Elephas maximus indicus: one gene and its partners. The protein of the gene in region 4 purifies or fractionates together with the protein of the main gene of each other region. This does not show direct contact. Links are inferred from orthologs where the notes say so. Each region holds a gene or a part of one and is shown on either strand. Other genes may lie near its edges.

The links.
Region 1: the proteins of MED21 (region 4) and CDK8 purify together in Homo sapiens (affinity purification with mass spectrometry; 14 studies listed by BioGRID and IntAct, counting the BioPlex papers as one, with this or other methods). This does not show direct contact. The link is inferred for Elephas maximus indicus from reciprocal best matches to the Homo sapiens genes MED21 and CDK8.
Region 2: the proteins of MED21 (region 4) and MED12L purify together in Homo sapiens (affinity purification with mass spectrometry; 3 studies listed by BioGRID and IntAct, counting the BioPlex papers as one, with this or other methods). This does not show direct contact. The link is inferred for Elephas maximus indicus from reciprocal best matches to the Homo sapiens genes MED21 and MED12L.
Region 3: the proteins of MED21 (region 4) and RPAP2 purify together in Homo sapiens (affinity purification with mass spectrometry; 3 studies listed by BioGRID and IntAct, with this or other methods). This does not show direct contact. The link is inferred for Elephas maximus indicus from reciprocal best matches to the Homo sapiens genes MED21 and RPAP2.

Annotation. Positions count from the first base shown.
Region 1 is NC_064841.1:58,013,636-58,021,619, forward strand, and holds the start of CDK8 (cyclin-dependent kinase 8), read left to right. Parts: upstream 1-4,981; 5' UTR 4,982-5,671; coding exon 5,672-5,799; intron 5,800-7,984.
Region 2 is NC_064841.1:8,863,664-8,870,713, reverse strand, and holds the start of MED12L (mediator of RNA polymerase II transcription subunit 12-like protein), read left to right. Parts: upstream 1-4,033; 5' UTR 4,034-4,784; intron 4,785-5,619; 5' UTR 5,620-5,760; coding exon 5,761-5,859; intron 5,860-7,050. UniProt on the Homo sapiens protein: May be a component of the Mediator complex, a coactivator involved in the regulated transcription of nearly all RNA polymerase II-dependent genes.
Region 3 is NC_064821.1:149,946,499-149,953,644, reverse strand, and holds the start of RPAP2 (putative RNA polymerase II subunit B1 CTD phosphatase RPAP2), read left to right. Parts: upstream 1-4,130; 5' UTR 4,131-4,190; coding exon 4,191-4,263; intron 4,264-5,139; coding exon 5,140-5,185; intron 5,186-7,146. Other genes in the region: GLMN (glomulin), read right to left, coding at 2,582-2,707, 3,085-3,123.
Region 4 is NC_064822.1:85,864,402-85,872,216, forward strand, and holds the start of MED21 (mediator of RNA polymerase II transcription subunit 21), read left to right. Parts: upstream 1-4,811; 5' UTR 4,812-4,844; coding exon 4,845-4,886; intron 4,887-7,815. UniProt on the Homo sapiens protein: Component of the Mediator complex, a coactivator involved in the regulated transcription of nearly all RNA polymerase II-dependent genes.

The DNA of each region.
Region 1 (7,984 bases), on a different chromosome or scaffold from region 4:
TGGTTGAGAAATTTTTTGATGTTGTCTTTGAAAAATTAAAAAAATGCTAGAGGGCTTTGATTAATCTAATTTACTTTTTTTTGTATCTAACACTGCTCAAATGTAGATTCTTACTATATGCTTTCTCATGAAAATTCCACCTGCAGAATGGGAAGTTAGATGCTTTCCATTTAAAGTACGCTTTGGATACAGAGCAAGAGAAGTGAATTAAAAGTTGTAGAGGCCCCTCCCCCCCCTTTTTTTTAATTTTTAGTGTGCTTAAAGTGAAAGTTTACAAATCAAGTCAGTCTCTCATACAAAAATTTATATACACCTTGATATATACTCCTAGTTGCTCTCCCCCTAATGAGACAGCACACTCTTTCCACTCTCTATTTTCGTGTCCATTTGGTCAGCTTCTGACCCCCTCTGCCCTCTCATCTCCCATCCAGACAGGAGCTGCCCAAATAGTCTCAATATGTCTACTTGATCCAAGATGCTCGCTGCCCACTAGTATCATTTTCCATCCCACAGTCCAGTCCAATCCCTGTCTGAAGAGTTGGCTTTGGGAATGGTCTCTGTCTTGGGCTAACAGAAGGTCTGGGGACCATGACCTCTGGGGTCCTTCTAGTCTCAGTCAGAGCGTTAAGTATAGTCTTTTTACAAAAATTTGAGGTCTGCATCCTGCTGCTCTCCTGCTCCCTCAGGGGTTCTCTGTTGTGTTCCCTGTCAGGGCAGTCATTGGTTGTAGCTGGGCACCATCTAGTTCTTCTGGTCTCAGGCTGATGTAGTCTCTGGTTTATGTGGCCCTTTCTGTCTCTTGGGCTCACAATTACCTTGTATTTTGGTGTTCTTCTTTCTCCTTTGCTCCAAGTGGGTTGAGACCAGTTGATGCATCTTAGATGGCCACTTGCTAGCATTTAAGACCCCAGATGCCACTCTCCAAAGTGAGATGCAGAATGTTTTCTTAATAGATTTTATTATCCCAATTGGCTTAGGTGTCCTCTGAAACCGTGGTCCCCAAACCCCCGCCACTGCTATGCTGACCTTCAAAGCATTCAGTTTACTCAGGAAATTTCTTTGCTTTTGTGCTAACTGCTTTGCAGTTGTGCTAACCTCTCCTGTATTGTGTGTTGTCAAGAATGCCCTTTTACATTAATATATCATAAAGCAGTAAGTCTGTTTTTTTTTCTTTTTTCATCTAATCACTGAGCAGCAAGCTCTTTTGCATGCTGCAGAAGGTTTACCTTGAGAGGCAAGACTGAGGTAAGATGTTAAATGTTTTAAAATGACTGCCTACACCATTTATTATTAATCTTAAGATTCATTTCAACCTTTAGAGAAATCAATTAAATTAAACACCTTCTTATTAATTATAATTATGCAAGATATGTGCTGGGCACTGTAAGAGATAATTATTTTGTGACCCTGGTCAGAATGGTCAGTGGTGGTAGCTGGGCACCATCTAGATCTTCTGGTCTCAGGGTAGGTGAGGCCACGGCTCATGTTGACTATTAGCCTTGTAGTCTTATTTCTTCTCTGAGTCTCTATTTCCCTCTTTCCCTTTTGCTCTGGATGAGTAGAGACCAATAGTTGTATCTTAGATGGCCGCTTGCAAGCTTTTAAGACCCCAGATGCTACTCACTTCACTAGGATAAAGAACATGAACTTTGTGAACTATATTACATCAATTGACTGAGTTGAAAGATTTTTTTTAAGTGCATAAAATAAATAACTGAAGTATAAGATAATTGTGATGCTTCTAGATAAGTTACAAATAAAGTGTGATGGGGCTGGAACTGGGGGAGCGGTTCATGGGAAAGAAAGATCACATCTAGTTGCAGGGATCAGGAAAGTCTTCATGATAAAAGTTAAGCATTTGAGCTGTTCCCTGGTGGACTGCAAAGGTCTGAGACGATATGAGGAAGGGCATTCCAACCTTGGAGAATAGGACAGACAAAGGCATATCTGGCTTGAATATTAAGGACAATGTTAGGTAATGAAGGCCTGGGCTCATGGGTTTGGCAAACAGCAGAATGACTGTCTACTGGTACTGCTAATCACAGGAACTGAGAGATTCAGGGAATAGTATAGTATGTTCACTTGCAGAAATTTTAAGTTTGAGATGACAGCAGAATTTCCCCTTAGGCTGTATGGGAGGCAACTGAACTGTGGGGCTGGTGCTTGGGAGGCATGATAACACTGGAGATGTTCAATTTGGAATGTAAATAAAATCATATTTTAAGAAAAGAAGCACGAAAATTATTAGGCCATTGTTTGGAGTGTAGGCCAACGAAGCCATAGATTCTACAACATCAGTGGAGGTCATCATGGAGCAAATGGACATGTGAACTCAGTATGATCAGAGTTAGGAAATCAAACTGAAATCACAGCTCCATGTTCCTGATATGTTCAATTCATTCAAATAACAATAAAGTCTGAACTTCCATCCCTTGAACTACAGGAAGTGCATGCTAAAACCAGATTCCACTCTTCCAGTATCTGGAATGCTTACACATTCCATTAGTCCTTCCTGGCTCATTGCTTTGGCTCTGCAGGCTGTTGCTGCCCCTTCTCCTCCAAGTACAGACACAAGCCCCACAGCAAAGACCAGGCTGATAGCTTGGGTATAACAGAAGGGAATTACCATGAAGAAAAAAAAAAAAAAAAACCAATATGAGCTGTTACCACTTCTAACACATTGGCCCTGCTCCCCTGTAAGGGGCCCCCTAGTGGCAATCTTCCTTAGCTCCGCATCCTGATGCTGCCTTAAGGGGCCGGCTTACCTCATGTCACCATATTCTCCCACCCTGAAGTCCAGACTCCTAACTCTCACCCTAGCTTCAGAGAGAATAGCGGGCCCTTCTCTTTTCCCTGGGTGATGTGAATGGTTAGCGCACTTGGCTTCTAACTGAAAGGTTGGCCGTTTGAGTCCAACCTCAGGTGCCTCAGAAACCAAAGGCCTAGCAATCTACTTCTGAAAAATCAGCCACTGAAAGCCCTATGGAACACAGTTCAACTCTAACACACATGGGGTCACCATGAGTCAGAATCGACTCCACAGCAATCGGTTGGTTCTCTTCCCTAGTGCAAGGCCAGCTTCCGTTCCTGTCTCAGAGAACTGATAATCAGAACACTCAGTTACTTCAGGGAGAATTCTTACCTTCATCCACAGGATGGATAGGTACAAAATAGTACTCAAAAGTACATTTTAAAAGTCTGGGATCTTCAGTGCTCAGGAATATCATGTGTAGGTGGTGGGATGGGGGTGGGGCACCCAAGTATGGGGCCAAGCCCACTGCCATGCCTCTGCACCACCTTTCCTCCAATGTGGTGGGTTGGTTTCTCAAAATCTATGAGTGAATACTTGGACAAAAAGACACATCCCTCAAAAAACACAAAATAAATTTTCAGGAAGAGTCTAGTCTAAATTCATACTTAGGGAAAAGAATTAATTCTCCATGCAAAGGCACAGTCCTGCTAGAGAGTCACCCAAATTACATTACCGATCAAATGCATGTAATATCTCATTAACGGAAGCTTACATTTGCTGTGCATTTATTCTAAGTTGGGCCTTTTATATCTCCATTTTGCAAAGACACAAACTGAGGCTCAGAGTTAGTCCAAGGATACACTGCTAATCAATGGCAAGCAGGATTCAAACTCAGAGTCATCTAACCTGAGTCAGGGTACTTAAACACTAAATTATGTTTAATGGCTAAAGTAAAAACAACTTAAACCAATGGTGAGGTCATGATTTCCTCTGAGGAAATTTATATAAGACAAGGGTTCCTTTGAGGATTTTCACAAAATTGCATCATCATCATCTGTACACAGATATTTTTGACATAAACATGTTCATTCACTCATTAAGTCAACAAATGTTTACAGTGCACCATAGTCAAGGTATGATGCTAGGTGTTATGGAAGAGAAAAATATGACCCTCTACAAGAATTTATAATCTAGCAAGGGAGAGGGAATACAAGACAAAACAGAATTTGATGAGTACCACAGGACAGGTGGAAAAAATAAAGTGTTATGGGGGTTTAAAAGTGGGAGTGATCATATCGTTTGGACAGTGGTGAGCATTAGTGGAAATGGTAACAAATGGAAGCAAACAAACAAAAAAAGAATGTGCAAATGAGAGGGATAAGGCAATTTGAGGGATTATTGTCAAGATATTAGGGCTCCTCCAGGAGACACCTTTTCTACCTAAACATTATCAACAAATTAGTTTCCATTGATTTAGCTCCATGACTGTAATCTTATGGCTAAAACATCGGTGGTTCTACACGAAGGCCATACTCAACGTAACCTTCCTTCTGAATAGACCGGAACCATTCGCATGGGCAACTACCGCAAGAGTAACAGTATTTGGGTGTCGCATCACACTCCTCACTGATTGACTTTCCTCGAAGTCTGTAACATGTGTCACTTATGCGAATAGTACTGTGCAGACCTTACGGGAGAGTGACCGTCAAGTAGCACAAAATGTGATTCTAATACAAACTAGCCTCCCTGACACGTGAACTTCCTTGGCCAAGTTTATAGCCCAAATTAGACTCTAAGGATATTTAAAAAATAAAAAGTGCGCCGTAAAAAATAATAAAACATAATAAAAAGCGTTCCCTAAATAACTGAAAAGGAGCCCTGGTGGTGCACTGTTTAAGTGCTTGGCTACTAACTCAAAGTTTGGTGGTTCAAACCCACACAGCTGTTCTGCGGGAGAAAGATCTGGCGATCTGCTTCCATAAAGATTACAGTCTAGAAAACCCTATGGGACAATTCTACCCTGTCACATGCGGTCGCTAGGACTCGGGAACCACTGGACAGCACCCAACAACATGAATTAAAACTTCTCTCACCACGAACTACCGATCCCATCATTCACCACGCCCTCACATTGCCCCTGCGTGGGGCGGGGTCCTGGAAGGGGCGGTGACGGTGGCGCCGTGCGTTCTGGGCATTGTAGTCTGGGGCTCAGGCCAGCGCTCAGGACGGCCCACGTGCTGTGCTTGGCCGCCGCTCCGGCCAGTTGCTCCCTCGCTCTCTCCCCCTGTCACCGGGCGTCGGGCGCCGGGAGGGGCGGCGGGCCGCAGCTGGAGCGGGTGGTGGGAGGGCTCGAGGCAGCCTGAGCCTTCGCGACGTTTTTGCGACAACCGGGCCGTGTTCCGCAAGTCCCCTCCCTCCTCTTCTCTCTGAGGAGGTACCGGCTGTTGTACGGCCGCCGCTTTTCTGTGTGAGTGTATGGAGAGTGAGTGAGTGAGTGAGTGTGCGTGTGCGTGTGCGAGCGGGTGCGAAGAGTGAGTGCGTGTGTGCCAGGAGGAGAGGAGCGCCCGCCGCGGCAGCCCCGCGCTCCCTCCGCAGCCGGAGAAGAGGGAGACCGGCGCCCGGGGAGCCGCGGGGACGAGGGCAGCGACACCGCTCCCCACCCCTCCCCCAGCCTCGTCCCTCCGCTCTCCTCCGGCGGGGAGGCCTCCCCGTCCCCACCTTGCCCCGCTGTCCCCCTGGATGTCCCCGGGGCTGTCGCGGGGCCTCCTGCTGCTCCTGCGGCATCCGTCGGGCCGGTGCTGCCGCTGCCAGGTGTAGAGCGGGTGGGCTCCCGGGGGCTGCGGCTGCCCGTGCCTCCCCGTTCCCCACCGCTGCCACCCGGCCCCCCGGCCCCGCTCCCCGGCCTCCGAGGCTGTGACAATGGACTATGACTTTAAAGTGAAGCTGAGCAGCGAGCGGGAGCGGGTCGAGGACCTGTTTGAATACGAGGGCTGCAAAGTTGGCCGAGGCACTTATGGTCACGTCTACAAAGCCAAGAGGAAAGACGGGTGAGTGTGTGTGCGTGTCGCCCCAGGCCGAGGCGAGGAGCGCGAGGGCGGCCGCCGGTGCCGGCTCCCACTTCCTCGACCCCGCGTCGTCTGCTCCAGCCAGGTCGGGAGGAAGTGCTGTGCGAGGGATCTGCGGCCGCCAGAGACCCTGCGTGCTCCTCTGGGTGGCAGGGGCTGACCGGGAAGAACAGCCGTCGTCCGTGGGCTGTGTACTTTTCAGGGGCATCAGTGCGGGTTTTTTTTTTTTTTTTTAGTATTCGTTATGAAACGTCAGTTGAAATGATTTTTGGGGGGGGGGGTCGGTTTATTATGATAACCTTCTGAGGATTTCCTCACCCGCCTCTAGAGTGACATCCGTCACTCTGGAAGGAACGCAGTGGTCCTTTCCCTCATCGGTTTCATAATGGATTTATTACCACATTTAGATTTTATTGAGGGCAGAAAAGGCAGCAAGTGAATGTGGCTGTCAGGAGCTCCTCATAGTGATCATGTGCTCCATGAATGTAGGAATCCCTCTTTGGGTATCATTAACTGAGTTTGTACACGGAACAATGGGGGTTTGGTGCAGGGTGGGTGGTGGGGAAAGGCAAGTGACAAATAGGGGGTATGGTGTTAAGGCTGTTCGCCCAAAATTTAGCAGCTGGCATTGAACTTTAAGCAGTCCCTTTGCTTTAGACATTCTTCTCTAGAAGTAATTAAATCTATGACTGGTAATGTTTCTATTTAGTTTTAAAACGGGCAAGTGAAGTGTTCATTTTTCCTTTGTCAGTAGATGAATGTCTTGTAATATTGACAAAAGAGAAGACAGTATTTAGGTTGGGGAGAAAATATACTGGATTAACTCTTTGCTTTCCTTTTGCAAAAATGGATGTCGTTTCTGTTGCCTTTAACATGATAGAAATTTACGGGAAGATAAAATCAAAGCTTTGGATTTTATTAGAAGCAAAAGTAGCTTTACTGTTAGTTTGGTTAGCTGCTATTTACCATTTAAAATAATTGCTTTTTTTTATTTCAAATTAGTAGGGTATGTTCAGAACTATTTAGCACCAAAAAAGAAAAAAAAGAGTAACCATTCATAAAGCTGAAATAAGTTACCTTGGATAGGGGGAAAAGGCCATATTTGTACATACTTTAGTATTCTGAATATTAGAAAGGAAATGTATGTTCAGCTTTTTTTTTTTTTTAAGATTTACTTAGTTACCTTTCTAAAATAATTTAAGACGGACCCTAGGAAGAAAATGGTAATACTAATTAATTTGAAATGTGTATTTCAGTGCCTTTATGCAGCAGTAAAGCAGTACAGCTATCTCTGTTAAAGGTAGGAATTTGAAAACTTGATACTCCAGGTGCCACATGTATTTAAAAGTACTTTTTAGGGGAATGGATGGTCTGGTGACATTTGAGAAATCAGCTTCTGGAGATACTGCTGTGTCTTGTTGTCTAATTAGATTTCTCAGTAAGGTACTACTCTGTAATGACATATATTTTTAAATTATGCTTCCCATATAATATTTTTCAAAAGCTTTAAACCATCTCTTCATCCCCCAGTATTATGTAATTTTAAGCATATTCATAAAATCCCTAATCCCATGAGATTAGGCATTGTAGTACATTTGACCAGTCTGTCATCTGCTTGATAAAATTCTGATGACCTTTAATTATTTTTAAGCTCTCTGAAAGAAGCCAGTTTTGTTTTCATAAATTACCAATTTATGGTAATAAATATGCATATTTGTATTAACTTTGATTTTATATTTTATTGAAAAACTAGTATTGAGGTACTTTTAAGCACATTTTATATCTCATGATCAGAGTTTAATTTAGGTTTTAATAATTTGAGGAGAATTACACAATGGAAACCCTGGTGGTGTAGTGGTTAAGTGCTACGGCTGCTAACCAAAGGGTTGGCAGTTCGAATCCACCAGGCGCTCCTTGGAAACTCTATGGGCAGTCCTACTCTGTCCTATAGGGTTGCCATGAGTCGGAATTGACTTGACGGCACTGGGTTTTCACTGGGTACACAATTTAAACATAGCTCAATGTATAGTGTATAAACATTTCTTTGTCATTTCTGATAGCCAGAAAGTAGCTTGTGTTTTGGAAAAATTAATTTTTCATTCGCAGTCCTTTGGGCATGTTTTTAGCAACTTTAATGATTTTGTTTGTATGATGAACTTTTCTTTTA
Region 2 (7,050 bases), on a different chromosome or scaffold from region 4:
GCTGTCAGAAGTTTTGTTTCTCTTATACCAGACCTGTCTTCTGAGGCTCGTCTTTGCATGATTTATGTAAAGTATAATTAACACACGTACCGCACGGACAGCAAGGACAGCAATAACGAGAGCAGGCTTGGAGTCTGAGGGATCTAGGTTTGATCCTAGCTTTGCTACTTGTTAACTCAATGGTTTTGGGCTGGTTACTTCCCCTCTGAGCCTCATTTGAAAATCTGTAAAATGGGTACAATAGGACTATAACCCCTGACATGTATCTGCCCTGCCTCTACTCCTAGGCATTCTCTGCTCTGCAAATCTGATCGTGTCTCTGCCTTTTGCCAAAGGAATTTTCTCCCTTGCCTTAAGCTACATAAGTTAAGCTTTGAGAGGCCCACTGACCCGGGAGCTTGATGTTTATCCTCTGTGTTTATTTGGGTGAACCCAAGGGATTGGTCTCTGATCCAGACTGGAGAACTTTCAAAGTGAAGAACGGTGGCTTGCAGGATGCTTTCACGATGGGCAAGGAGAGAAGGTTGGTCAGGGAATGCCTTGCATTAAAGCATGTGTAGGCAAAGGTTACCTGTCTATTTCCTGCAGATTAAATATAAAGAGCAAATGAATACCAGCACACGATGGGACCCAACTGTGAGCGTCTCCTTACAGAATGCTGAAAACCGGCCTGTGGAGGGAGATATAGCAACTGGGGAGGGTTTGGTGCTGAGGTGTCTTTGTGGAGCCCTCGGATGTGACTCAAGAAAAGGGGCCAGCTTTTAAACACCTGTCAACATACAAAGCAGCCCTGGAGGGTCAGCTTCATACTTGGAGAATAACGCTTAATCACGGTTTATACTTCATTCTTTAGCTACATTTCGATCCTTTTCCCTTGCCAGTTATAAGAAACTTTCTCAGTTCCCTGAACTCCTCTCTTCTCGCTAGGCTGTGGACCAGCCTGAGACCTCCTCTCTGGGGATCCTCTGGCCTTCCTTGAGTAATTCCTGTTCCACGTAGACTTCTCCCGGCCCAGTGGGTCTTTAGCCAAGGTAGAAACATGATGCTTCTTATAGAACAGTAGCAAATGGGACTCCCTTTTATTCAGCAAGGTTTTGTGCCTATCTGCTGGACTAACCAGCACCATGATGGGAAAATCAAGCACAGCATAGAACACGGTGGTCTTCATGTTAAGTCCACCATGTTAAGCTGGCCTAAATTAGCTTAAAGACTAATTATGGACTGAAAAGAGAGAGGAGTAAGAGGGTGAGGTGGGGATGGGAAACCAAGACTATCCTTGTGTGACACATTTAAATGTTTGTCAATGAATGATGAGGTGTTAAGAGATGAGAAAGAAAATTAAGTGCTTAGAGTACTGAAAGGACTGAAAAATCACCTTGGGCCTGGGGAGCTTGGGGTAGTTTCAAAGAGGGGTCAAGATTCTGAGGACTATCACAAGGTAGATATTTGAAAATGGAGCACCCGGGAATCCCATATTTGGTACTACAAGCGAGAACTAACAGGATAGGAGGGAGGGTGAACTGGGCTAAGGGTGAAGGAGAAAAAGCTGGACTAGTAGGTGGGGATGGATTGTGATGACCTCAAATGCCCGGGTGCGGGAGCCAAATGCCCATGGGAAATCCATGTAGTGAAAGAATGATTTTGGAGGAAATGTCTCAGCTTATATTAGAGCTGGCTCTGAGGATACCACTACCTCCTGCATGTCTCTACCTTGTCCCTATAGCTGCTGGGACTGATGCCCACAGAATCTCTTGGGAAATAAGGGGGTTCAGTGAATAAGGCACCTTCAAAAATAGCCTTCATGATTGCTGTGACACAAATGACTTAGGATAATGGCATGGACTCAGAATCTGTCAGATGGTGCCTTAGGCCTCCTATCCCTGAATGAGACACCACCACAGCAGACAGGATGATAAAAGGGGTACTGGGTTACAAGATGTCCTGACCCATAAATCCCTCTTCAAGTCACGAGATCAAGACTGGCTTGGCAGGACGAGGGGCAAAGCTTCCAAGACCTTTTCCTTCAAAGCTTCTGGTGAACACAGAGTCAACTGTGAGGGGGACTTTCAATAGATAGCTTGATCCACCCGCCTGTTTCTTTGACAGAAACCCACTTTCCCTCTTCTGTTTTAATGCCACATGTGTCAGGGCATTAAGCAGAAGACTCTTCTAGTGCAAACACTTTCTTCTCGGCTTCTGGCTCATGGCTACAGAGCCTGTGGGTGTGGCAAGGGTGCCAGAGCCACCAGGGTCTTAGAAGGTGAGACGGTAGCAGGTGACGGTGCCTGGGGAAGAAGAGGACTTTAAATGCAAGTATTCCAACCATTTATTCACTTATCTCATTGTATTGTGTGCATTTCCTGCCGATTTCTCAGTTCTTTTGGGGATGAGGCTGTGTACCATAGTAAGCACAGGCTTTATGCGTTCTTAAAAAATAAACAGGTGTAGATGTGTTGGTGGATTAAGACCAAGAAGGGGAAGAGGACCCTGGAAAAACTTGCTGTAACTAAGACTTAGGTTCTCAAACAGCATATTTGAATGGGGCCTGTGACATGGCCAGAGATGCAAAGGGCAAGTGAGTCGTTGTTAGGTGCCCTTGAGTCGGTTCAGACTCATAGCGACCCTATATGACACAGTAGAACTGCCCGTAAGGTTTCCAAGCAGCGGCTGGTGGATTTCAACTGCCGACCTTTTGGTTAGCAGCCAAGCTCTTAACCACTATGTCGCCAGAGCTCCAAGTTAGAGCAAGTGAGTCAGTAGCCAGATATTTGGAAACCTCTCCAGGATGCGGGGTAAATTTATGCACAGGTGTGCCTGAAGCCTGAGTCTGAGCATTTTATAACACGAGTGCTAATTTCGCTTTGGGAGCCCCATGAAGCCTTCTATTTTGAGACTGAAGATGGTCCCTGGGAATGATAAAGAGCTCTCGCTCTTTATGCTGAGAGGGCCACAGAATCCATGTCAAACTATCTTAAGACAAGGGACAGAGCTAAGAATGGAGACTAAGAGGGAGACAGCTATCCCTGTCCTTCTTTCCAAATACCAGGGACACACTACTGACATTTTGATTTTAAAATAAATTCTTACAGGTAGATAAGGTTTTAAGGGAGTCCAAAGTGTTTCATTTGTGCAGCCTGGTGGAGGCTCTTGCCTAGAAATCTTAAGGAAGAATTCAGCTTCCATCTCCCTACAGGCTAGGGGTGTTTGAGTTGCAGCCCAGGGTGTCACCAAAATACCATTAGTGAAAGAATCAACCATCCATTCACCCACCCATCCATCATTTATCCCACCAACCAACATTTTTTTTTTTTTGAGCGCCCATCACGTGGCAGGTTCCATGCTGTGTGCTTGAGTTGCAACAAAGAATAAAACTGTCCTTACTACTGTATATCAATGTGTTGGAGATGGAGGAGACAGATGAAATAAGAATAGCAAAGCTTTGATAATTGTTGCAGCTGGGTGATGTGTACTTGGGGGTCCATTATACTCCTCCTTCGACTCTTTGGTATGATTTTTCCTAATAAAGTTACATAATAAACTGTTGATTGTCTGAAGAGAGCTAGAAAGAGAGATGGTATTAGTGGAGCAGAAGCCCCTGGGGCAGGGTGGGGAAGAGGTCAGGGAACAGCTCTTGGCAGAGGATAATCCTGCCTCTGGAAACCCTTGATCAGATTGTTAGGAACTCAGAAACTACAAAGGCTTCAGGTGCGGGTTGGGAAGTGTCATGGGTCAGGAGGAACTAGCTGTCACCACATCGCTGTCTCTTCACTTACCCCACTTTTCCTTCCTCTTTGCTAAAAGTCAGATATTCAGATTCAACCAACATTTCCAGAGCACCAACTATGAGCTGAGCTCTGTACAAAGGCCTCAGTTAGATTATGCCTGCACCATTTTTACAGAGGAGGGAACTTTGAGCAAGTCACTTGACCTCCCCGAGCTGACTCAATTTCTCCCTCTACGGAAAAGGTACAGTAAAACCTTGTAAGGTTGTTGTAAGGATCAGAGACCCTGACTGTGAAGATCACGGCCCCGAGCGAGGGCTCCATAAATGGCAGCCATCATTCTTCTGGACCAAGTGCGGGCGCATCCTCCGGGGCGCGTCTCCCGCAGGGTCCCCCGGGACAGGCCGGGCCCGCCCCCGCCGCGCCCACGGCAGGTGGCCCAGCATCTCGGTGCCCACGCCTGGAAGTGAGCGGGGAGCGCGGGCGGGTTGGATGACCAAGGTCTTCCCTGGAGGATCAGCCGTCCCTCCCTCCAGGCGCGCGGCGCAGGTGAGGTTTCCGGCCCAGGCCACAGGGACGGCGACCTTTAGAGAGGTCGCGGCCGAGGGCGCAGACCGCGGCCGGGAAGGGGGTGCTAGGGGCTCCCTTCCCCCGCCCAGGTTCGCCCCAGGGCCGGCTCCGGGGCCCGCGGGCTGCGCGCTCTGCGGCTGCGAAAACCCGGAGAGGCGGATCGGAGCGCGCTCCCCGCGCTCGCAGCCAACTCCTCCGCGGTCCGGCCGCCCACCTGGGCATGCTCAGTGCGGCCGCCGCGCCGCCGTCCGCCAACTAGGAAGCTCGCGCTCCCGGGCCTTGGGGGCCAGAACGCCGGCGGCGGCGAGCCGGCGTCGCCCGCCGCCCCCAAACACGGGCAAACTTCGCCGCGTCCCCGGAGCTCGCCCCGACGAGACGGAGCCCTGACGGAGCCAATCCAATCCACATCCCCAACCCCAGCCCGAATCCTGGAGGCTGCGGCTGCCGGAGCGCCCCCGCGGCCGGCCCTGCCCGCTAGCTGGTGACCAACAGGTAAACTGTTGGCCGGGGGGAGGGAGGTGAACTGTTGGGGGGCGCTGCGGCCGGGGGAGGGCGCGGGCTGGAGGAGCCCGAGACGCCCGCGGGCCGGCCGCCCCCGCCCGCGCTTACAGCCGCCCCTCCCCAGCCCTCCAGCCCCTGGAGGGGCAGCAAAGGGTTAAGTCGGCCCCGCGCCACCGTGAGCACGGCCCCCTCCAGCCGTCGCTGCCGCCGCGACCGCCAGCAGCGCGCCTCGGCGCCTGCCCGGAGCTGCCGAGGGGCACCCGAGCCGCGGATGCGCCAGCGGAGCCCGGCGGGCGTCCAGGAGGCACCGGCCGCGTCCCCGCCGCCCGCATCCCTCTCTCCCCCACCCACTCCAGGTCTTCTTTCCCCGCACCGGCCGGGTCGGCGCCCAGGAGGCGGGGGTCTGCGGCGGGGGAAGGGTCCCTGCGGAGGGAGAGGGGCGGGGGCGGGCCGCAGCCTCCTCCCGGGAGGGGAGAGTCACTCTCGCCTCGGGCGAGCACTTGACCACCCGCCTCGGCGTCCAGAAAAGTTTTTTTTTTCCTCCCGTGCCCCTCCCCCACTCCAGCCCGGCGCCCGGCTAGGGTGGGTTCGGGTCCATTGGTGAAAAAAGTCACACGTTCCCATCAGCTGCTCCTCCCCCTGGGGACAGGGTGGGGGGGCGGGAGGCGGGCGCCGCGCAGCTCCGGGCCGACCTCCAGTCCTGCGGCCGCCGGAGCCGTGCGCCCCGGAGCTGAGCGCCGCCGGTGCCCGCCGAGGCTGCCCCCATCAGTGCGCGTCTGCGTGTCGGGCAGCGGCTGCATCCAACCTGCTTTATTCCTGCCCGCAGCGCCACAGCCAGCGAGCGAGCGAGCGAGCGGGCGAGGAGGGGGAGCCAGGGAGCCTGTCTGCAAAGTGCTGCTCCCTGGTGCTCAGAGGCGGCTGCTCCAGCTCCAACTCTCATTCATTTCGCCGGTTAACATGAGAGATCATGGCCGCCTTCGGGCTTCTCAGCTATGAGCAGAGACCGCTGAAGCGCCCCCGGCTCGGGCCGCCCGACGTCTACCCGCAGGACCCCAAGCAGAAGGAGGTGAGGACGCCGGCGGCCTCGCCGGCACCCAGGGCCGCGCTCCGCAGCGCTGACCCGGGGCCAAGTGGGCTCAGCGGGCATCGCCGGGGCTACGGGGGAGGGCACGGGGAGGGGGCTGGTGGCGGAGGCCGGGCTGGGGGGCTGGGGGACCCCGGCGGCGGAGACCGTGCGCCAGTCAGCCCGCTGGTTCCACTGGGGCGCTCTGTCTCCCGGGGCCGGGTCGCTCCCCCGCTACCGGGCCTCGCACGGCTCTGCTGGGCGCTTCTCGGGGTTTTTCCTGGCCGGAACCCTCCTGTTCGCTCTCTCGCTTCTGCCTGCTTATTTTCCCCCCCGCTGCTTCGGTAAATCCTCGTAAACTTTTTGAAAAATGTTGGAATGCAGTTCATCCGACCCCGAGGTCTTGCGTTTTGCGCCAGCTGAGCAGGAAAGTGGGGGAGGAGGGGCTGGGGGAGGGGGTTTTCCTGCCTCAGAATTCCCAGTTTGGAATGGAAGTCGCTTTTATCGAGGTGATAAATATTTAGCTCTCTGAACGTACTTTTGTATCTCCTCTTCCCTTAAAAAAAAAAAAAAAATCAATATTGAAGAGAAACACTGATTTTCGTCCCTAGAGGCTGGAGCCTGTTTTGTATATGTAAGAGCAGGCGGGTTACCTTGGAAGGGACTAGGTCCCAGGATTCCTTATTTCTTTGAATGAAATTAATTGGAGAAACCTTGACTTTTGCACCAGATATCACTAGCTTCAATGGTTAGGGTAACCATGGCGTTTTGTAGCCGTGTGTGTGTTTGTCAGGAGTTCACAAGTAATTATGTAACTACTCTTCAGTTATAATGATTACCCTTGGCTACACAATTTGCCCAGGGACTTGCCGGTTTTTGTTTTTGTTTTTTCTTCTTTAGATCACCTGCTACCTAGTTTACTTTGAGAGTTTGCCAGCTGCAGCCCACCTCCTTCTCTGCTTTTTTTACCTAAACACAAACTGACCACATTTCAAAAACTTATCTTTCCGGGAATCTAAAACTCTCTATTAAAAGTTTATGGGGCCACTGACATCACAGAAAGGGCGTTGTACGTAAAGGAAGGAGGGAGACTTATAACTTCCCTCTTGATAAATCTGTTTCAGTAATAGAGGAAAAATGCTTGTTCTGGTTAAACAGTTTTGTGAATGTGTCTGGAAAAATGAGTGATACCTT
Region 3 (7,146 bases), on a different chromosome or scaffold from region 4:
ACATCCATTTAGGTCTTTTCTTTCTCTCCTGTCTTTTTAATGACCACTTGCTTTCTTCATGTATGATGTCCATGACATCATTCCACAACTTGTCTGGTCTTTGGTCATTAGTGTTCAACACATCAAATCTATTCTTGAGATGGTCTCTAATTTCAGGGGTGATATATTCAAGGTCATACTTTGGCTTTTGTCGACTTGTTCTAAGTTTCTTCAGTTTCAGCTTGAACTTGCATGATGAGCAACTGATAGTCTGTTCCACAGTTGGCCCTTGGCCATGTTCTGACTGATGATATTTAGCTTTTCCATCGTCTCTTTCCACAGATGTAGCCCATTTGATTCCTGTGTATTCCACCTGGCGAGGTCCATGCGTATAGGTGCTATTTATGTATGTCAGTGAAAAAAGGTATTTGCAATGAAGTCATTGGTCTTGCAAAATTCCATCATGCGATCTCTGGCATCATTTCTATCACCAAGGCCATATTTCCCAACTACTGATCCTTCTTTGTTTACAACTTTCTTTTAGTCACCAGTAATTACAGTGCATCCTGATTGCATGTTTGATTAATTTCAGACCGCAGAAGTTGGTAAAAATCTTCAATTTCTTCGTCTTTGGCCTTAGTGGTTGGTGTGTAACAACTATTAATCAAATATGCACACCAACCACTAATCTCTAATAGTTACTCGCAAATCTACTACATCTAAATCTCTTATTTCTCTACTGAGCTCCAAACCTTACTTTCCAAGCTCCTGCTGCATTTTAAATTCAACATTTCCAAAAGTGAGATCACTTTATCTTCTTTCAGAAAATGTTCTCCTTGAGTTGCCTTTTTCTGTTCAGAGTATCATGTATTATTCTCTCAGAGGGGAGAACCTCAGCTGTCTTTGACACCTTACCCTCTCTCACCCTCACAATCAATCAGTCCCCTCTATTCTACTCAAAACATTCATGCAAGTGCTTACATGCTGCTAACTGGAGTAGAACAAAGTGGCTAAGAGCTCTGAAACCAGGCTGCACAGTGATTTCGTTTCCTCATCTACAAAGCGAATTTAGATTCTGGAGAGGCTAATGGGTTAACAGATGCAAAGCACTTAAAAAGACATTTGACATATAGTAAATACTCAAGAAATAAAACCAAGAAGGGTAAAAACCACAAAATTTACTTTATTTGGGGTTACAAAGGTGCCATAAACACAGATCAAAAGCAAATATATTAAATAAAATATCCTATTTTTGCTAAAAAAGAAAAAAGCAAGGGCTGCCCTCTGAACTGCTGAATAAGAGATTCTACAACAATATGCGATTACAAAGCTTTATGAGGTCCCCAAATCCAATTAAGATGCCTTGGATATAATCACAGGTTAGCACGACTAGATTGGGGTATCAAAAAAGAAAACTTTTGTATAAATAAACAGTATTATAAATGAAAGAAAGAGCATGTTCCTAGGAAGAAGATGGTCTTCCCTGTATTCATATGAACAACAACAAAAAAATCCCAAACCCACTGTCACTGAGTTGAGTCCTATCAGGGTGACCCCACGTGTTACAGAACAGAACTATTCTACAGAGTTTTCTTGGCTGCAATTTCTTTACAGAAGCAAATCACCAGGCCTTTCTTCCATGGTACCATTGGATGGGTTCAAACTGCCAACCTTTAGGTTAGGAGTCAAGCACAATCCATTTGCACTCCTCAGGGGCCTTGTACTCATAAGAAGGGGAGTACAAAGACACAAATTTGGCAGTGTGTCTCTAACACTGTGTCCCAGGAAAAAGTCGTCCCTGATCCACAAACGAGACCCATTTCCACTGTAAAGAATGATTTCTCAGACTATCACAGCTGGATGATATTCTACATCAATTGTCCCTGATCCACAAACAAGACCCATTTCCACTGTAAAGAATGATTTCTCAGACTATCACAGCTGGATGATATTCTACATCAAACTCGTTGCTGTTGAGTCGATTCTGACTCACGCTGACTCTATAGGACAGAGTAGAACTACTCCGTAGTTTCCAAGGCTGTCATCTTTACAGAAGCAGGCTGTCACATCTTTCTCCCGCAGAGCAGCTGGTTGGTTAACAGCTAAGCCCTCACCACTGCGCCACCAGGGCTCCTTCAGATTCTATGCACGTATACAAAATATTGCTTTGCTTAAAATCTGGTTTTCCACACACATTTGGCTCAATCAAGATAATTTGCTGGTCACCAAAAATGGGTGTCTAACCTGCGTGAGACTTGTATTACGTAAATTCATGATTTAAATGCCATTCTTAGTTCCTCTAGACCACAAGCAATCCTCGTTCCTACTGAAGAGTTTTACTTCTACTTCTACTATAGCACTTATTTCATTTATTCTGCCTCTTTATTGCTAGTAGTTTAGTATTTACCTCTTCTACCAGACTGCAAGGACCTTAAAACATATGAATATGCCTAATTCCTTTTTTGTCTTCCATAGTTTCTACTATACTTTGCTCTTAGTTGATACTTACACATTTGATAAATAAATAAATAAATAGATAATATCATCATGTGGTTTTCTCTTCCCAGTAAAAATGAAAAGTACACACAAAAATAGTACTTACCTTATTCTTTTCATTCTGGATAATTTCTAATAGCTGGTCTATATGCCCTTCATCTATGCACCTTTGCCCTGCTAACTGAAATAGGCCAAAATCTTCTTCTTTAAAGTCCTGTTCTTCTAGGATTTGCTGGCAAAAAAAAAAAAAAAAAACACATACAGAAATAAAAACTCAATACAATAACTACTTGATTTATTTTATCTCTGTGAAAAAAGAGAAACCTGTTTGAATTCCAGATGGGTTGCACATTAAGTATATGCACGAAAATCAGGATGATCCCAGTAAATATTCCCAATGAATGATCTCGAAATCTACTTTACCAAAGAAATCTATGAAAAGGATCAGCATTAAAATTAAGATTATTTAGATAAGTATGTCACTTGGAGACATAATTCAATTTGCCTTCCAGCCCTCATGCTATTTATTCACAGGTCAATAAAAGCAAGAATTACAGAAAATAAACAATGAGTGACCTCAAATGTAATTAAAAAGAAAAAATTACTTACACATCTTTTTATTATGGACTGAAGCTCCTCCACAGCCATTTCTAGTTTTTTCCCCTAGTTTTGATGCTGAAACGTACTAACACAAAACACACTGTTAACAGTGGCATTACACTGCAGTATTCGGAAGCTGTTCTATTCTGTTGCATTATTAAAAAAAAAAATAATATTAGCACACACAATTTAAAAAATGGAACGTTTCAAAGCTAAAAATGTTATTACTGAAAGTTAATGTGTTAGCTTTAAGAAAATTAAAAAAAAATTTTTTTAAAAGATGTTGCTTTTCTTTCTGTTGTATTTTTAAGTTTTCTAGGAGTATTATTTTGAAAGAGGAAAAAAACTCCTCTAGAGCACTCTTAAGAGATAGGGCAAATATGAACTCTATAAAGGATTTTTTAAATAAAGTGAAATTGTCTTTTTTGAAAAAATTCCCAAAAGATGGGCCTGAAATCCAAGTTATAATCATTTAGGAATTTTTTTTTTTAATGTCCCACCTGACAAAAATTTGAGAGCAACACATTTAACTCATTCAAATGGGGTGAAACTTCAGATGCCCTCCAGCCCAAGGGTTGGCGGTGACATTGCTCTCTAAGAGTTGCAGTCGCCAAGATAATCAATTTGGTCACTGTAATCACTTTATTACTTGGAGACCAGGCCACCGGCGGTCCCCGGAAGAACCGGTCTCATCGACCATCGTTTTTCCCAGCCGGAAGGCCCGGCCCCAGCCCTGCACTACCGGCGCGGGTCTGCGGGGTCCTCACAGCGGCGCGCTGGAGGGCGGATTAAACCGCTGCGCGCGTGCTGGTGGCATCCAAGGGAAGCCATTTCTCCCGATTCCTGCTGTCCTTGGCGTTCGGCCCCCATCACCTGGCGGGCCCGGTCTGCCCGCGGCGCCGGGCCCTACGCCCTCACTACCCACCCGCGGGCCCAGCGACCCGGGCTCCCCCCGCGCGTCCACTCACCCGCCCAGCCTCCGGCCGCTCTCAGTCCCCTCCTCCACTCCGCAGGCCGCGCAGCCTACTCCCCCGGCCCCGCCCCGCCTACGTGAGAGAGGCGGGGCCTCGGGGAGAGACGCCGACGCCCGCTCTCCGCTCTGACGACGCATTTCCATGGCTGACTGGGCCGGGCAGCTGTCTCCCGGCCGCAAGGCCCGGGCTCCCGGCGCCTCCCGTAAGGCCGCAGGTAGGAACAAGGGTCTTTTGCCACGTTTGGGCCCTAATACCTGAGCTCCGGCAGAGTTCCACACCAAGGCGCGCGGGGAGCTCCCGGAAGACTGACCCAGGGGAGAGGGTCTCCTATGGGGAGACCGTAGAGCTCCCCACCCTCGCCTTTGCACCTTCTGGGCAAGATCTCCCGGGCAGACTCCGACCCTTTTACAGGAGTGTGCCAAGATTTTTCCCGTCGTGGTTTGACCCCAGCCTCAGAGGTGGGCAAGTGCCCAGGGCAGCGACGGCAAGCCGTGCGCAGCAGACTTCGGACCCCGGCCCAGTGTGCTACAGAAGTGCGGCTGCTGTGGTGCCCTGATTCTCTGAGGTGTCAATCCCGACCCTTTTCCCCCGCCAGAGGGCCAACAGGAAGGAGACAGGAAAAGGTTGCTCCAAAACTCAGATTTTCAGAAGGGCGTAAGTAAGCTGTTCTGATGTTGTTGGGTGCCCTCAAGTCGATTTCCGCCCCTTTTGACAAAATAGAACTGCCTCCATAGGGTATTCTTGGCTGTAATCTTTACGGAAGCAAATTCACCCATGGAGAGGCTGGGTGGGTTCGAACTGTCAAGGTTAACAGCCAAGCGCTTAACGGTTGTCCCACCAGGACTCCTGCAACTCTGATACATGAGAAATCAAAAGAGATAACATTTTAACCAAGAAAAATTAGGGAATAATTAATTTACAAAAGTAAGTTGGATTCTCTTCCCATTTGATTTTGGTTTACGTACAGGATTAGAAATGAAATGTGTGGAAAAGATGGCCTGCGGTTTGAGTTATTTGGACAGGAATCTGTCCTGTGCCTAATGTCTTTGTGCAGACTTGACCTACTTTTTTTTTTTTTTTTTAATCGTAGGTACCAAACACACAAGTGCCTCCAAACAAGAAGATGCTTCCAAGAGGTACGAGAACTTCTTGGAGAACTGCATTCATTTATCTATCTCATATTAATTGAACCGTTTTTTGAAACCGTAATGGGTACTACCTTAGAGAAAGTTACTGTGAGAGGGAAGGTAGAAGTCTGGGAAGCACTATAAATTCTCACAGTGACTGTTTCAAACCAAACCAGAGATTTCTAGGCTGCTAATGAGTATCTGTAGAAAGAAGTCTGTGACAATAAACATGCCTGTATTAACCTGGTACTCCTTTTCCACCTCTTCAGGTACACTCACTCATTACTGCTATGCCAGAGACTTACTGTGCAACCTTCTCATTTTGTCACTCCAAGAAGCCTTTTCTGTTCTTTGTTTACATCCATTCCAGATTTTCATCAAAAAGTTGTCTTGTACTGTCTCTTGGCTTCTCCTAAAAAAGCAAAATATTATCACCTGTCTCAGAAGGTTTCTAGAATATGCATAGCCTATGAAGAGGATTAAAATATATATCTAGAATTTCTCACTTTATGAAGGCTCACTGATCTTGTATTGGCTTTAGTCTTAATTTATTCATTCATTCAAAAATTATCTACCAAGTGTAAAATATGTCAGATCTGTGTTAGGCCCTGAGGATATGATGTTGAACAGGGTAGACCTACCATACATAGTTCTTGTTTAGTGGAATAGAGAGACACCAATTAAATTATCACAAGGTATACTTATAAATTGTATACTTACAAATTGTGAGAAGTGTTATAAAGGAAAAGGCTATGATGTTATGAGGAAGAACTAATAATGGGAGTACATTTTAGCTGGGAGCTGGAGGGGAGAGTAGCTGTGGGGTTCAGGGAAAGGCTTCTCTGAAGAAGTAATAATTACACTGAGACCTGAAGGCTAAGTAGGAGTTAACCAGACAAAGACTAGTGACGAATGACTTACAGCCAGAGGTGACAATATGTGTGAAGACCCTGAAACAAGAAAGAGGTTGGCCAGTTCAAAGAAAAGAGACATGTTATCCTTTGGTTTGCGGAAACATTGTTTGCTGTCATGTGGTTTAGGCCTTCCTCACCTGCAGAGAGTCTGTGAGGACCAAAGAGTTGAACACAAACCCTGATGTGTGTTGGGGCCAGCGAGTTTGCAAGGTTCCCCCCAGCCTAGTTCTCAAGGGCCTAGCTTTCATTGACAATGTTGTGCTGACTTACCCCGTCTGGCACAAATCATATTTGAGTAATCATCCTTAAACCCACTGCTATTGAGTCGATTCTGACTTACAGCCACCCCATAGCGTTTCCAAGACTGTAAATCTCTGCGGAAGCAGACTGCGACATCTTTCTCCCTCGGAGCTGAGGGTGGCTTTGAACTGCCTACCTTTTGATTAGCAGTCGACCACTTTAACCACTGTGCCACCAGGGCTCTCAATCATTCTTAAAAGTGAGAGAAATTAAGTCTGTAAGTTGAAATGTAAAACTACGAAAGTGGCTCAAGAGAGGAAGGAGTGGATCTATTGGTTTTTATTTAGAATTATTCTAATCTTATGCATAATTTAGGAAACGCTGGTGGCGTAGTGGTTAAGTGCTATGGCTGCAAACCAAAAGGCCGGTAGTTAGAATCCGCCAGGCGCTCCTTGGAAACTATGGGGCAGTTCTACTCTGTCCTGTAGGGTCACTACGAGTCAGAATTTATTCGACGGCAATGGGTTTGGTTTTTTTAATGGGTTTATGCATAATTTTTATGTGAATTTTTTTGGAAGGGATAGTGTTTTCACTTTGTGCTACTTATTATTGGTCTTAGTAAAAAAAAAAAAAAGTTCTGCAGAGATTAAAAAAAAAAAAAGAGAGAGACAGAGAAAGAAAGGAGATGGCCAGAGTGATGTGCAGCATTCTGATCAAGGGAGGAAAGGCGTATAGGAAAAGGTTAGAGAGACGTAGGATCCTGTTCAGATAGTAGCTGGTAGGTGAGTAATCCAGATCTTTGTTGGAAGTACAAAT
Region 4 (7,815 bases):
TAGGTCATTTGTGGCACATACTGGGGGAGACAGGGCAGGGGTGGGGGGCGGTGCAGGACATGTTTCAGGAGACAGTACCTGTGCTACTCGGGGATGTAATGCTCAGTGCATGGTGCAGATAGGCAGGAGAGAGGGGAGAGGATGTGATGTGTGGAGCTAAGTGGGTGTGGGAAAGAAGAGAAAGAGGAGAAAGACAAGCCAAAAAAAAATGCTAAGGGAGCCTGCCGTTGGAGTGGCACAGACCCAGGGAAGCTGTGTGCCATTGGCTTCGTAGCCAGGCAATGTGGCACAGCCCATCAAGAAGGGACAGATATGGCACAGACAGCTAGGTGGGCAGGAGAAAGGAAAGGAAGGAAGGGAGAGAGAGATAAGAAACTAGATTTTAAAAAAGAGAGAGAGAAAGGCACACATGGCCAGGTGGTCAGGAGAAAGGAAAGGAATGATGATAGAGAGAGACAAGAAACCAAGAGAAAAAAAGAAAACATCAGGTGGTTGGGAGGAAGAAGAAGGAAGGTAGAGAGAGACAAGAAACTGAGAAAAAAAAAAGCCCCAAGGGAGTCCACCAGAAGTGGGTCCCCAGCTGAGCAGCACTGCACAGCCCATCAAGAAGGAGCAGAGATGGCACACAGTACCAGGTGTTCAGGAGAAGGGTAAGGGAGGTAGAGAGAGACAAGAAACCAAGAAGAGAAAAAAGAAAGAAAGAAACACCCCAAGGGAGCCCACTGATGTGGTGGTGCACACCAGGAAAGGGGATCTCTAGCCAAGAGGCACTGAACAGCTCATCAAGAAGGAGCAGAAATGGCACACGGCACCAGATGTCTAGGAGAATGGAAAAAAAGGGAGGTAGAAAGAGACAAGGAACCAAGAAAAGAAAAAAAATGCCCCAAGGGAGCCCTCTAGTTTGTTGGCATGGACCAGGGAAGGGGTTCCTTGTCCAAGTGGTGTTGCACAGCCCATTTAGAAGGAGCAGAAATGGCACAAAAGCCATGTGTTCTGGAGAAAGGAAAGGAAAGGAGAGAGAGAAAAAAATGCAAAAGAAGCCCCCAAAACCAAGAACAGCAACAAAAAAATGGCACTGAAAGAGCTGGCTGGTGTGGGCAGGGCAAGTACAAGCAGCAAGAAGCCGGCATCTCCCCAGCCAAGCAACTGCAGCCTGCCAGGAAGCAGCAGAGGTAGAGCAGAGGGAAGAAGGGAGGGGAGTGGGAAAGCATGTATTGCTGGGTACCAGGTGCTCTGTCTCCTGCTGGGAGCTTCTCGTGCCTTCCAGTACTCCCTGTCTGCCATTCTTCGTAGTTCAGGGGTCCAAGATGGCAAATTTGCGCCACGTTAGCGATAGGGGACCTCCACTGTGTAGCTCTCGTCACTCTTTGTTCTCTGCCAGTTTCTTATTTCATTCAGGGCATGGTTCAGCTCTTTATTCCTTCACTTGATGCTTAGGGTTCTGGGATTGATGTTTGTCTCTGTTTTACTTAGTTTTTCAGGTCTTTGCTGTGTAGGGACAGCATGGTGCTTCTGTCTTTAGCACCATGGTGGCTCCCTGGATGTTGAAATGTTGTTTTTGATAATGACTGCAACGCTATTCCTCTTCAAGTTCCCAGCATAGTAGGCTATATGACTGTCCTATTCAAAACGTCCAATATTAGTCCATTTCAGTTCGCTAATGCCTATAATATCAATGTTTACGTGCTCCATTTCATTTGTGATGATTTTCAAATTTCCTAGATTATACTTCATACATTCCAGGTTCCAACTATTAACAGATGTTTGCAGCTGTTTCTTCTCATTTTGAGTCATGCCACATCAGCAAATGAAGGTCCCAAAAGCTTGACTCCATCCATGTCATTAAGGTTGACTCTACTTTGAAGAGGCAGTTCCCTACTTGTATTTTGAGTGCCTTCCAACCTGAGGGTTCATCTTCTAGCACTATATCAGACAATGTTCTGCTGCTATTCATAAGGCTTTCACTGGCTAATTCTTTTCAGAAGTAGACTGCTGGGGCCTCCTTCCTGTCTTAGTCTGGAAGTTCAGCTGAAACCTGTCCGCGATGGGTGACCCTGCTGGTGGCATAGCTCCCAGCATCATAGCAACATGCAAGTCCCCACAGTACAACAAATTGACAGATGTGTGGGGTGAGGGGGAGCACACATAGCATAAGCTTAAAAAACACCAAAACCCATTGTTGTAAAGTCGATTCTGACTCATAGCAACCCTACAGTCCACTGCCAAAAGACTGGCAGTAGGTACAGTCCCATTTAAGCCCCTCATCCATGGCACAAAGTGGGGTGTGCAAGGAAGAGTTGTCATTTCTGCCCAGACAGCTTTTGAGGTGTGATTGTTCGTGATTGAACTTTTCCTGTTGTATGCTGTCTGATTCTTGTAAGGAATAATAGCCACTTTTTATGTGCTAGTGTGTGTTCAAGCTCTGATCGAAAGGATGTAATGTTTATGAAGCAATCTGTATTAGTTATTGGTGCCCTTTTCCTAATGGCCTCCTGGCTACCTAGAAATTGAGTGCAACCTGTGAGCGCTACACAAATGTGGAGCATTGTCATACAGTTATGGTGTGTTTGAGCAGGACATGTTGTCCTACAACAGGACAGAAGCTGTATCATAATATAGTTTTTTTTTTAATAATTTTTTTTTGAGTTTTTGGTCAAAGTTTATGCAGCAAGTTAGGTTTCCATTTGATAATTTCCACACATTGTTCAGTGACATTAGTTACATTTACTACAATATATCTAAAGAGAACATGCTCTAATTGTCTTCTGTTTATACATTTCTGGTACTCTGTATTTTGTGTGCCACTCTGCTATTTTGCTAAAAGGTGATCTCAGAATAGGCTCAGTTCTAGGTTTAAAGAATGTCTCAGGGCAATAGTCTCAAGGAGCCCTCTGCTGTTTTAGTAGGTCTGACTTTTTTGTTTTAATAAGAATTTGAGTTCTGCTCCATTTTTTCTCCCATTCTATCCAGGACCAAGTATTATAACCCTGATCAGGTCAGTGGTGGTAGCCCAGCACCATCTAGTTCTTCTGGTCTCTAGTTAGATGAGGTTGTGGCTTATGTAGACTTGTTTCCTCTCTGAGCTTTTGGTTGCCTTACTATTCTGCTCCTGGTGAGCAGAGACTGCAGTTATATCTTAGATGGCCACTTGCAGGCTTTTAAGTCCCCAGATGCTACTCACCTCACTAGGGTGCAGATCATGATTTTTGTGAACTCTGTTACACCAATTAACTGAGTTGTTCCATGAGGTTATGGTTCTAAGCCTTCAAAGAATATGGGTTATTCTGAAGTAGCTCCTCTACCCTAGGCACCCGAGTTCTCATCAATGGGGCTGCAAAACTTTCTATTCTCCTTTAGTGGGCTCTCTCATTCATTCACCTATATCCAACCAGTCATCAGTCTATATTAACTTTTCCTTTAAAAATACGTTTTAGCCTTTCTTTCTTCTTTTACGAGGGTCAACATCCTAGTCTAGGCCCAACTCAGCTCACTCTTGGATAAATACAAGACCCTTGTGCTTTTCCAACTAAAATTCAAACCCATTGCCATTGAGTCAATTCTGCCTTATGGTGACCCCATTTGTTAAACTGTTCTATAGGGTTTGTTTGGTTGCAATCTTTATGCAAGCAGATAGCTAGGCCTTTTGTCCACAGTGCCACTGGAGAGGTTCAAGCTGTTAGGTTAGGCATCCAGCACAAACAGTTTGGGCTACCCAGGGACTCCTCCTTCCTACTAGACACTGTGAAACGTCTATTCTCCTCTCCACCAACCCTCCCCTGCTCCTCATCCATTTATTCACTGTCACACAAACAAGAAAAGCTTATTAGTTCCCCGTGCTCACACCATACCTCTTAGCTCCAAATGCTTTCTTCCTCCTTCTCACCTTGCCAGCAGTGACTTGCCTTCGCACACTCTTCTAACAGAGTAAATACAGTACTTAATTGTTTTGGACACTTTCCATTTCACCTGTGTCAGCCTCCCAAGCACATCTATACACAATTAAAGCTCCCTAACAGCATGCACCCAATTTCCACTTTGGTAACCCCCTCCATGGCCAAAAGCAAGAGAGGAGGCACCCTAAACCAGTCCTTCCTGATTGCCTAGTGAATTTTAATTTGGATTTGTTGAGTTTAGAATCATATCCTATCTCCCAAAAAAACCCCATGGAGCGGTTCTACTCTGTACCACAAGGGGCTGCCATGGGTCGGAGTACACTCAACTGCAATGGTTTTATTATTATTGACCCCCAAGTATTCTTGAGAAACACTGGTAGCGTAGTGGTTAAGAGCTACGGCTGCTAACCAAAAGGTTGGCAGCTCCAATCCACCAGGCGCTCCTTGGAAACCGTATGGGGCAGTTGTACTCTGTCCTATAGTGTCGCTATGAGTCAGAATCAACTCCACGGCAACGGGTTAAGTATTCTTGAGTTTCTTGCAGCGTATATGCTTTGTGGTCCATTTGGAAAGCAAAGACAACATAAAAATAAGCATTCAAGGTGATGTTAAAAAATGAATACATGGGGGAAAAATCACTAAAAAACCGCAGAATCCAACAATCTCTGTAAAGTGTTTAACACCTACGACGTACTTAATACGAGAACGATTGAACCCTGGACTGTCTCCGAGTTACTCAAAATATTTCCAGTCAGACTCTCCCTCCAGTACCAGCCAGACTAAACAGTCATTAGCTAAGTCTCAGATCCTCCTCCTCTTCCTCGTCCCGCAAATTCTTCCCGATCCCACCCCTTCCAAGAACGCAGCCATGTGATTGGCCACGACGAGTCCTCGAGCAGCCCAATCGCGCACGAGCAGCTGCTTAAGCGTCCCTTTGCGTGAGGGACAAACATGGCGGACCGGCTAACGCAGCTTCAGGACGCCGTGAACTCGGTGAGGAATTTCATTCGATTAGTCTCTGTCTCTTTTTTGGGGTAAACCAAGAGAAGACAGGGGTCCTGAAAGACAAAGCGCGGAAGCAGAGAGCGGACTGAGTTAGGTCTGAGCAGAAAGCGCTCGGGGCGGTGGGAAGCCCCGTCGGGAACCCTGGGAGGTCTGAGGCCGCCCGTCGGGCAGTGCGGAGAGATGCGAGAGCCTTTCTTTTGCTGGAGATTAAGGAGAAGTGGACGCTCTCTCCTTTCTCCTGCACTGCAGCCTGAGTCTTAGGTTTCACAGTCCTGTCATGTTCTCGTTGAGAAGATTTTTATTTTCTTGTTAGTGGTGGTTATCGGCTGTCTTCTTTTGGGGGTGGGGAAGGGGAGAAGCAGAATTTTGTTCGTTTTGTACTGATCAGTTCTAACCACTCGAGGCGAGCCCCCACGGTTGATGATTGGATCTTTAATTAAAAGTTAGCCGAAAGGATTTCTGCAGTAACTTTTAGGTTGGAGTCGGGGAAGGGGGCGTGACAGGGGTTGGGAGTGATGGTGAAGTCGTTTGTGTTTTTTCTAGTTCTTTTCTAAACGCCAAAGGTCTTGTTCTATCTCTTGTCCACTCCTCATCATAGATTAAAAAAAAAAAATAGGTAGTTAATCGAACGGGGGGGTGAGAAGATGGAGCCAGTATGAACGTTCAGCATTGTATTTTAAGTGAAGGCTGGGTGCATTACCAATTTAAAAAAAAGAAAATGAGATGTACGTATGAACTTCAAGGTATTTTTCACAGCTATAAATATAGAGTTACACATATCACAGTAGCGATATGTAATGAACCTTTGAGGTCTATTTAAGATTCACCTGTTTGAAGGTTTTTCATAAATAAAATAGGAACGCTTGGAAAAGGAAAAATCAGTCATAAATAACCCTTCTGGAGTAGAAGAAGGCCATTGGCCCATTGCCAATGACGAATGCATCTTTTGATGGTGAAATAACATTCTTGCAGAAAAGTGTGGGTGTAAAGTTTAATGAACAGTTACAAAGTGAACACCTGTGAAACATTAATGAGGTGAAGAAATACATCATTACCAACATCCCAGAAATGCTTTCTCCCTCTCTTGATCTCAGTACTACCCTGACTTTTGTGATAATCTACTTGCTTTTCTTTGTTGTTTTATCATTTATGCGTGCATGCCTAAATAACAGTTTAATTTTTTTTTGAATTGTATATATATATAAATGTATTCTTTTGTGATTGGCTTCTTTCACCCAACATTTTGTGTGCGTAATAATGTGGCATTCATTTTCATAGCTTTAAAGTATTTCATTTTATTAACATGCTGTAATTGCCACTGCTTTTTTTTTTTTTTTTTTAATATTTTGTTGTGTTTCAGTGAAGGTTTACACAGCAGTTTCAGGTTCCCATTCAACAATTTCTACACCGATTGTTCAGTGACATTGGTTACTTTTTTCACAATGCGTGAGCATTCTCATTATTTCCATTCTGGTTGTTCCATTTTTGTTACAATTTTTTTTTTTTAATTTTATTTTGCTTTAGGTGGAAGTTTACAGCTCAAGTTCATTTCTCATTCAAAAATTTATACACATATTGTTTTGTGTCATTGGTTGGAATCCCACAATGTGACAGCACACTCCCCTTTTCCACCTCGGGTTCCCTGTGTCCATCCCTTCAGTTCCTGTCCCTTTCTGCCTTTTCTTCTTGCTTTTGGGCAGGGGTTGCCCATTTGGTCTCGAATATTTGATTGAACTAAGGAGCACGTTCCTCGTGTATGTTATTGTTTGTTTTATAGGCCTATCTAATCTTTGTCTGAAAAGTGGGCTTTGGGAATGGTTTCAGTTCTGAGCAGAGTATCTGGGAGCCATAGTCTTGGGGGTTCCTCCAGTTCTGTCAAACCAGTAACTCTGGACTTTTTTATGCATTTCAATTATATTTTAATTTTTTCTCCCATTCTGTTTGGGACTCTCAGTTGTGATCCCTGTCAGGGTGGTCAGTGGTGGTAACCGGGCACTGTCTAGTTCTTCTGGGCTCAGACTGTTGGAGCTCTGGGTCATGTGGTCCTTTAGTCCTTTGGGCTAATATTTTCCTTTGTCTTTGGTTTTCACGAAATGGGACCAACAGATGTATCTCAGATGGCTGCTCGCAAAATTTTAAGACCCCTGATGCTACCCACCAAAGTGATGTAGGGCATTTTCTTTATGAATTATGTTTTGCAAATTGGCCAAGATGTCCCCTGAGACTGTGGTCCCCAACCCCAGCAACTTGGTCCCTCAAGGTGTTTGGATGTGTCTAGGAAACTTCTGTGCCTTTGCTTTGGTCATGTTGTGCTGACTTCCTCTATATTGTATGTTGTCCTTCCCTTCAACAAAGTTGACACTTGTCTACTATCTAGTTTATGATTCCATGCCCCCCCCCCCACCGCCTTCTTGAGCATTTGGATTGTGTCTAGTTTATAGAAATTAGGAACAATGCTCCTGTGAATGTTGATGCCTAGATGTCTCCTGGTACACAAGTGTGCACGGCAAGCAGTTAAGTTTCTTTTACTCCATATCTTTATCAACATTTGGTATTGTCAGTGTTCTTCATTTTAGTCTTTCTGATGGATGCATAAAAGTACCTTGTGTTTTAAATTTGCGTTTCCTTGATGACTAAGGTCGCTGTGAGTACCTTTTCCTGGGATTACTGGCCACTGGAGGAGCTCCTCTTTCTTCAAGTGCCTTTCAAATCTTTTGCCCATTTTTCTTAGTCTGTTATGGCCTGTTTATGATGTTTTTATAAATAGAAATTATTAATATGAATGTAGTAAAATTTATCAGTATTTTTCTTTGTTGGTTAGGCTTTTTTGTGTCTTAAGAAATTCTTTGTTACCCCAACATCATGAATGTATTTTCTTATAGCATTATCTAAAAAATATCTTTTGTCTTTTATGCTT